Macaca fascicularis: one gene and its partner. The protein of the gene in region 2 binds, or shares a complex with, the protein of the main gene of each other region. Links are inferred from orthologs where the notes say so. Each region holds a gene or a part of one and is shown on either strand. Other genes may lie near its edges.

Region 1 (3,652 bases), on a different chromosome or scaffold from region 2:
GCAGTCCAGCTGGAGGGGGAACAATGGCTGTAGCAGCCTTCGGGACCCTTCCTGCCAGCTCTGCGGGCTCTATGACTTCAATCTCTGTGAAGCCTCTGGCTTTTAACTGGCAGGAACAAAGCCTGCATTCTTAGGATTAGCCCTCCCTGGAGCCATCCACCCTACCGGGGCCTGATGAGAGCCATAGCAGGTGAACAATTACCTAATCCCAGCCTGCGAGGCACAGAGGAGGCATTCTTCTTAGAGACATTATTTTTGAACTCTAGTCTTGCGGACCCTAGAGATGGTAAGAGCTAACCCCTCCTTTCACAGAGTCGAAACTAAGAAGCGTGTTGCTGTGCCACTAGTTGCGGAACCAGGCCTGGGGTCCAGGCGTTCTTCCCGCCTCCCAGCCTGGTTGTCGCCCCTCCTGTCATCTGCCGTAGGCCTGGTGCTGCTTGTAGATGGTGAAATCTCTGGGCTGGTGGTGTCTAATCGGGTTGGGAAGAAGGGGAGAGAGGCCACGGAGAGCTCTGCTGGGAACTGGATTTGCTTAATAGATTGGACCAGAAGTGCCCAGCAGAGCCACACTGGGACCTGCTTGTGCTCGCAGTTCAATCAGGCTCTAGGCCGGCTGTGGTGGCTCACACCTGTAATCCCAGCACTTTGGGAGGCCAAGGCAGGTGGATCACCTGAGGTCAGGAGTTCGAGACCAGCCTGGCCAGCATGATGAAACCCCATCTCTACTAAAAGTACAAAAAGTTAGCCGGGTGTGGTGGCGGGTGCCTGTAATCCCAGCACTTAGGGAGGCTGAGGAGGGCGGATCACCTGAGGTCAGGAGTTCACTACTAAAAGTACAAAAATCAACTGGGCATGGTGGCAGGCACCTAATCCCAGCTACTCGGGAGGCTGAGAATCACTTGAACCCTGGAGGCGGAGGTTGTAGTGAGTTGAGATCACGCTACTGCACTCCAGCCCGGGTGATGAGAGTGAAACTGCATCCCAACAACAACAACAACAACAAAAAATCAGGTTCTAAACCCCAGCAGAGTTTCTCCAAACAGCCAAGACATTTTTGGGAAACTTTGCCCATGAAGTGGGGCTTTGTGCAAAGAACAGGTCTTGGGCCTGCCAGTCCCTGATTTGGGGCCAGCTGCCACCCCCTCTTTGCCTCACTTTTCCTCCTCTGTAAAATGAGGTAACTCATTTCCGATCTCCCCTGACTCCCAGGAGAAACATGAGGGCCAGTGAGCTGGAGAATGACAGTCATCACGTCTCTCGTCTGCTGATCGTGTGTCTGTGCACACTCATCTACCACAGTGTGTGGGAGGGCTGGTCTGTCTTTGGCTTTATAGTTTTTTGAACTTGGCAAGGGATCCAGAGCATGCCTGTCAGTTCACCTGCAGCCAAATCCTTGGGGACACCTGTTAAAATTCAGATTTCTGGGTCGTATCCCGGAACCATTCAGTGAGTAACATTTTTGGGCATGGACACTGAGCCTGGCCTCTGGCTCCGCACTGGGATACAGCCGTGGATAAGATGCGGTCTCCATCAGACACTTCCCACCCGTCATGTCTAAAGAACTCTCCTAGTATTGATTGATTGATTGAGACGAGATCTCACTATATTGGGCAAGCTGGTCTCAAACTCCTGGCCTCAAGTGGTTCTTCCCCATCAGCCTCCCAAAGTGCTGGGATTACAGGCATGAGCCACCGCACCCAGGCACTTTCCTAGTTCTTTTTTTTTTTTTTTTTTTTTTTTTGAGACGGAGTCTCGCTCTGTCGCCCAGGCTGGAGTGCAGTGGCCGGATCTCAGCTCACTGCAAGCTCCGCCTCCCGGGTTCACGCCATTCTCCTGCCTCAGCCTCCTGAGAAGCTGGGACTACAGGCGCCCGCCACCTCGCCCGGCTAGTTTTTTGTATTTTTTAGTAGAGACGGGGTTTCACCGTGTTAGCCAGCATGGTCTCGATCTCCTGACCTCGTGATCCGCCCGTCTCGGCCTCCCAAAGTGCTGGGATTACAGGCTTGAGCCACCGCGCCCGGCCTTTTTTTTTTTTTTTTAGACAGAGTCTTACTCTGTTGCCCAGGCTGGAGTGCAATGGCGCCATCTCAGCTCACTGACACCTCCGCCTCCCAGCTTCAAGCGATTCTCCTGCCTCAGCCTCCCAAGTGGCTGGGATTACAGGCGTGAGCCACTACGCCTGGCTAATTTTTGTATTTTTAGTAAAGACAGGGTTTCGCCATGTTGGCCAGGTTGGTGTCGATCTCCTGACCTCAGATGATCCACCCACCTCAGCCTCACAAAGTGCTGGGATTACAGGCATGAGCCACCATGCCCAGCCATTCTCCTAGTTCTTAATGTCTGTCAGGAGGGTCCTTGTTCTTGGTTTGTTTGGCAGAGCCCCATACCTTCAGAGAGGAGTGGATTTTTTCCTTTTCCCAGCAAACCATGGAGTAGGAAGCCCTGAAGTCCCTAGAAGCACACATGCACACACACCCATACCTGTGCTTCTGCAGCAGGGCCACCAGGATGCTCTCCAATTCCATTTGCTTTTGTTCTGCCCACACGCTGTCCACCTGACGGCCAAGCCGTGCCCTTGCTCCTCGCTCTTGGTTTCTCTCTCTGTGTGGTTAGAAAAAGAGAACTAGTTGCTATTTGGGTAGGATGTGGAGAGGCAGAGGTATATCCCTACGCCTATTTCAATATCTGGTGTGGACTCTTCTACCCAACTGAATTAGATTCAGCCACACTTAGGGAGGCAGTATATATAGTAGTGAAGAGTACAGTAGTACAAATGTATACAGTTGCAAAACGTCTCCCCACAGATTATTAATTATAGAGGGAAAAATAACTTTATAGAGGAGAAACCTGGCAGACACCATGTTAACCAACTGATCGAAGTTACCATCTACCAATAATCCACCAATAATGGCACAAGTTGCCATCCTGTGCCTCCTGATACCAGGCACTGAGAAGGACACAACATTACTTCTGTGAGTGCATCACCTGATTCCTCTAATCATCATTAGAGGAATGCATCCTCTAATCATGGGGATATGTCTGGCAAATTCAACATGAGAGACATTCTATAAATCATTAGCCTTTAGTAATCAAAACTGTCAATGTCATGAAAGACCGAGGAACAATTCCAGATTAAAAGAAACTGAAGAGACATGACAACTAAATGGTATCCATGATCCCAGATTGGGTCCCAGATCAGAAAAAGAAATAATTGTCATAAAGGACATTTTGGGACAACTGGTAAAATTTGAAAATGGATTATAACTGACAATTATATTATGATTATGTAAGGAAATGTCCTTTGGTTAGGTATTAGGAGACACATACAGAAGTACCTAAAGGTAGAGGGTCATGATGACTGCAATTTACTCTCAAATGGTTCAGCAAAAATGATAACAACACTTAATGTGCATATGTGTTTCTGTGGTATGTATCTATATCTAGCTATAGATATAGAGTAAGCAAATGTGATAAAATGTTAGGAATTGGAAGGGTATATGGAAGTCCATTGTGCTTTTGTTGCAACTTTTTTGTAAGTTTGAGATTTTTTCAAAGTAAAAACTAAAAAACATACAGGCTATAGAGTCAGGCAGTTTTGCTCCAAACTCTGCCACTCTTTGTGTGTCCTTTAAGAGCTATTAACCCTGGGCCC
Region 2 (3,652 bases):
GATATAAATACACTGAGAAAAATGAGGAATTCCAAGCAAATAGAATGAGTGCCACATAAGCAAAGGGGCAGAGATAGGAGTGAGTTCTGGTGTTGGAAGAGATGGGTCTACATGGTGGGGAAAAGGGAAGGGAAAGTTAGACATGGGTATGGTGCCTAGATCTGGGAAGTTCATGGCTATGCAGGCAAGGAAGCAGACTTGGCCCTCTGAGAAATAGGGAGCCAAGGAAGGTTCTTGAGCTGGTGATGAGGATGGCAAACCTGAGAGCAACCAGGATGGTGATGGCCACGAAGAGGGCTACAATAGAGATGCTATGGCCCATGGTGTAGATAATCTTCACTGTGGAGAAGTAAGATTCCTGGGAAGGGCAGAGACGGAAGAAATTCTCAACTTCAGGGCCTTTTGGGGGAAAGAGAGGCTTGGCAATCAAGCAGGTGAAGCCTTTGCCATTCCACCCCAACATTGCCCATCTGGAGACAGAGGTGTCCGCAGGTACCATGGAAAGCTCCCCCTATGCACTAGGGCTTTCATTTCCAGCCTGCCTTCCACCTGACCTGCGGGTGAGGGAGGAGCAGTGGCGAGGAGTGGAGACGCTTAACACTCATGATGCTCTGGGGGTGGGGAGAGGCAGCCACAGAAACTACAGGTCCCTGGGGAATGACAAAAGCACCAGAGGAAATCAGCTTGTTTATTGACATCCAGCTTGCTCACCAGCTTAAGAACACAACGTCCCCAAATAAAGGAGACAGCCAGGGACACCTGGGGACAGCCACAGGCAGGCAAGCTAAAGGTTCCCATGGCCAAGTGTTTGTATCAGTCAGAGTGCGGCCGGGCCCTGAAGATAGAGGGTGCAGGCAAGGGAAGGGAGCAGGGGCCCGGGCACTGGCCCCAATCCCAGCTCTCCTGTGGGGTCCAGGCAATCACTGCCTGTCCCTGACTCAGTCTTTCCATCTGAAAAATGCTTATAGTCATGCTTTACCTTTCAGAGATCAAGGGGACAGAGAAACAGGATGGTGGGTGTGGGAGTGCCTTGCAAAGGCCCTGCTGGATGCAGAAGTGTGGGTGTGCTCGCTGGTATTAGGAGCTCTCTGCAATCACTCTGGGCTTGAGTTTCCCTCATTTGCCCACACCACAACCATGCACACTGCTCCACAGACTGAGGGTCAGAGAAGAAAAGGAACTTCCCAGGGCTGCCAGGATCCTTGTTGCCTCTGGAACCACTTTAAGCTCCCTGCCCTGGAGACCTGGACACGGAACCAAGACAGCAGGCAGCAGATCTCCCACATGCCCTCTGCCCCGCTTCTCCCTCCAAGTAACTTGGCCCGTGGGTCACCCTTGAGTAACTTAGCAGAAGACCCCCTCTCCTCCAGACGCTTCACTGCTGTCTGCTGGAAAACCGCTGTAAGGAATATTCCAACCTGCAGGCTGGGGAATGGAGGCCCCGACGTTGTGCACCCACCCATACGAATGTCCATGGCAGTCCTTCCTCCAAGATGCCGGGAGCCTCTTACCTCCTCAGCCAGCAGCTCCAGAGGCACAGGGCAGGCCACAGGGTAAGGTGGAAAGGGCTCAGACCAGCCAGTGATGGTACAATCCCGCTTCACAGCCCCTGGGAGGCAAGCAAGACTCTCTAGCCACAACCCCTTCCCTCTCCCCAGGAGGGGGCTGGGGGTGCCATGGACCATCAAGTGACCCTGGCAGGGTTTGCATGGACAGTTCCTCTCAGCAACAGAGAGGGCAACTCCAGAGGCCTGGAGCCCAGGTGTAGCCTACCCAGGGACACACTATGGGGCCTTCCATCTCTGGCTTCCAGGGCACCATCTCTGCACAGAGAGGATTACTCCCCTGAGGGGTGGGGAGTGGTGAGCTGGGCTGCCAGCCTCCTAAAGGCAGCAGGGGAGAAAAGAGGCCCTCGCAGTCCAGGCACCCAGGCCAGGGAGGTAAAGCAGAGCAGCCGGGTGCCCCACCCTCTCCATCCTGGGCAGTTAGTGGTGTCTTGGCAGACAGGCAGGCCTGCCCTCCTCCACCCTTGCAGCCAGCCTCCTGCTAACACTGGAGGGCACCCAGGTCCAGCACTTACAGGTTCCGCACTCTAATCCTTTCTTGCGCAGTTACTGCTTTCGTTCTCCCCAGTTCATAGCTCAGGAAGCAGAGGTCAGGATTGACTGACGGGCCCGAGGTCACCCCAGAAGAGGGGAAGTTGGTATACAAACCCAGGTCGGCCTGCCCCCAAAGCCAGCGACGTGTCTGCCAGATTCTGCCACTTCCAGACGAAAGCACCTCCCTTTCCCACTGCCATACCCAGGACCCCTCACCTGACTCTGAGCTGAAGTGAGAGAAGAAATCAGGGCAGGGGAGGGTGACCCACTCGCCGGATCCTGCCGTCGGCCAGCACAGCAGCCCATCCCAGGTCCTGGGGCAGCCTGGATAGAGAGCCGGGAGCAGCAGAGACTCAGCCCAGCCACAGGGCTGCCCCAGTAATCTGAGGGGTGATGCCAGAGGACACAAAGGAATCAGAGGAGCCGCCACCTGCCTCCTAGGCCCCATACCCAGGGTGGCGTTGGGCATCTCCTCTGCTGCTTGTAGACAGGCACTCTCATCCTCTCTCAGCTGGGTGATGAAGTCACATTCTGGGTGCATGTGGCCCAATACCTGCTGGAAACAGTGAACAGGATGAGCCAAGCCAATTGAGTGCCTTTCTGGGCTCTGTGGTCCACATGACCTGAGAACAGGGACGAGTCCTTATTCATTTCTGTGCCCTAATCCTGAGCAAAGACCTGCTCGCAGTACTTTCAGGTGTGTTTGGTGGATGTTCAGATACAAGGAAGGAAGGAAGGAAGGAAGGAAGGAAGGAAGGAAGGAAGGAAGGAAGAAAGGAAGGAAGGAAGAAAGGAAGGTAGGTGTGACTGCCTAGGCAGCTGGCTGGTGGAATGGATGAGTATACAGACAGACAGACAAATATATGGCTGGGGAGGTGGATGGATGGATGGACGGATGGATGGACGGACAGATGACTGGCTGCATGGATGGGTGCGTGGTGGATGAGTGAGAGAGCTGTGTAAGGATGGATGTGTGGGTCCATGGATGTGTAGATGAAAGGATCATAGCCTTGACAGCTGAGCAACCCTGAAAGACTATAGTTTTAGGAGCTTCCCAGATCTCGTGCTACACAGTGGCCATGAGAAATGATCTCTGGAAGCTGGAAACAAGTTGGGGTTTTTTTGGAAATCTTCTAGCAGTGCTTCTGAAAGTGTTTATCAAGAATCAACTAGAGATCCACTGGGATGGAAGCAGGGATATGCAGAGATCTAGGGTGGATCTAGCACTTTGCATTTTAACAAGTTCTCCAGGGAACTGGGAATGAACAGCAGCAATTTCTAGCACTTCTCCCTCCCACCGCCCCAAACTGGAGGAAAACCAAAACTGCTCACCCAGTAGGCCAGAGCCCAAACAGTTACATAGAAGGGAAGCCAAGTTTACAAAACAGACTTTCTGCACTGTGAACTGGGTATACAGCATACACATTTTTATATAAAACACACATCCGAGTCAACCAGTGTAGACGTCTGTTCCCCGAGGCTTCCACAGGAGAGGAGTGGCTGGGGAAGGGAGAAGGGCTGGATCCTAATAGACCCTGTGCAAGCTGTGATCA

The links. The genes of interacting proteins can lie anywhere in the genome.
Region 1: the proteins of GHRHR (region 2) and GHRH are in contact, whole or in part, in a cryo-EM structure (PDB 7CZ5), measured with the Homo sapiens proteins. The link is inferred for Macaca fascicularis from reciprocal best matches to the Homo sapiens genes GHRHR and GHRH. Residues at the interface, in NP_000814.2 of Homo sapiens: Leu119, Ala120, Glu122, Glu123, Phe126, Ser127, Val129, Lys130, Tyr133, Val179, Lys182, Leu186, Phe187, Asp190, Thr192, Asp193, His194, Cys195, Phe197, His210, Thr213, Phe217, Ala271, Cys272, Asp274, Leu275, Asp276, Trp282, Ile285, Ile289; in NP_066567.1 of Homo sapiens: Tyr32, Ala33, Asp34, Ala35, Ile36, Phe37, Thr38, Asn39, Ser40, Tyr41, Arg42, Val44, Leu45, Gly46, Gln47, Leu48, Ser49, Ala50, Leu53.

What each region holds. Positions count from the first base shown.
Region 1 is NC_088384.1:93,361,247-93,364,898, forward strand, and holds part of GHRH (somatoliberin), read right to left. Parts: intron 2,602-3,652; coding exon 2,482-2,601; intron 1-2,481. UniProt on the Homo sapiens protein: GRF is released by the hypothalamus and acts on the adenohypophyse to stimulate the secretion of growth hormone.
Region 2 is NC_088377.1:99,322,559-99,326,210, forward strand, and holds part of GHRHR (growth hormone-releasing hormone receptor), read right to left. Parts: intron 2,653-3,652; coding exon 2,550-2,652; intron 2,424-2,549; coding exon 2,316-2,423; intron 1,760-2,315; exon of another isoform or gene 1,686-1,759; coding exon of another isoform or gene 1,610-1,685; coding exon 1,512-1,609; intron 651-1,511; coding exon of another isoform or gene 555-650; intron 359-554; coding exon 261-358; intron 1-260.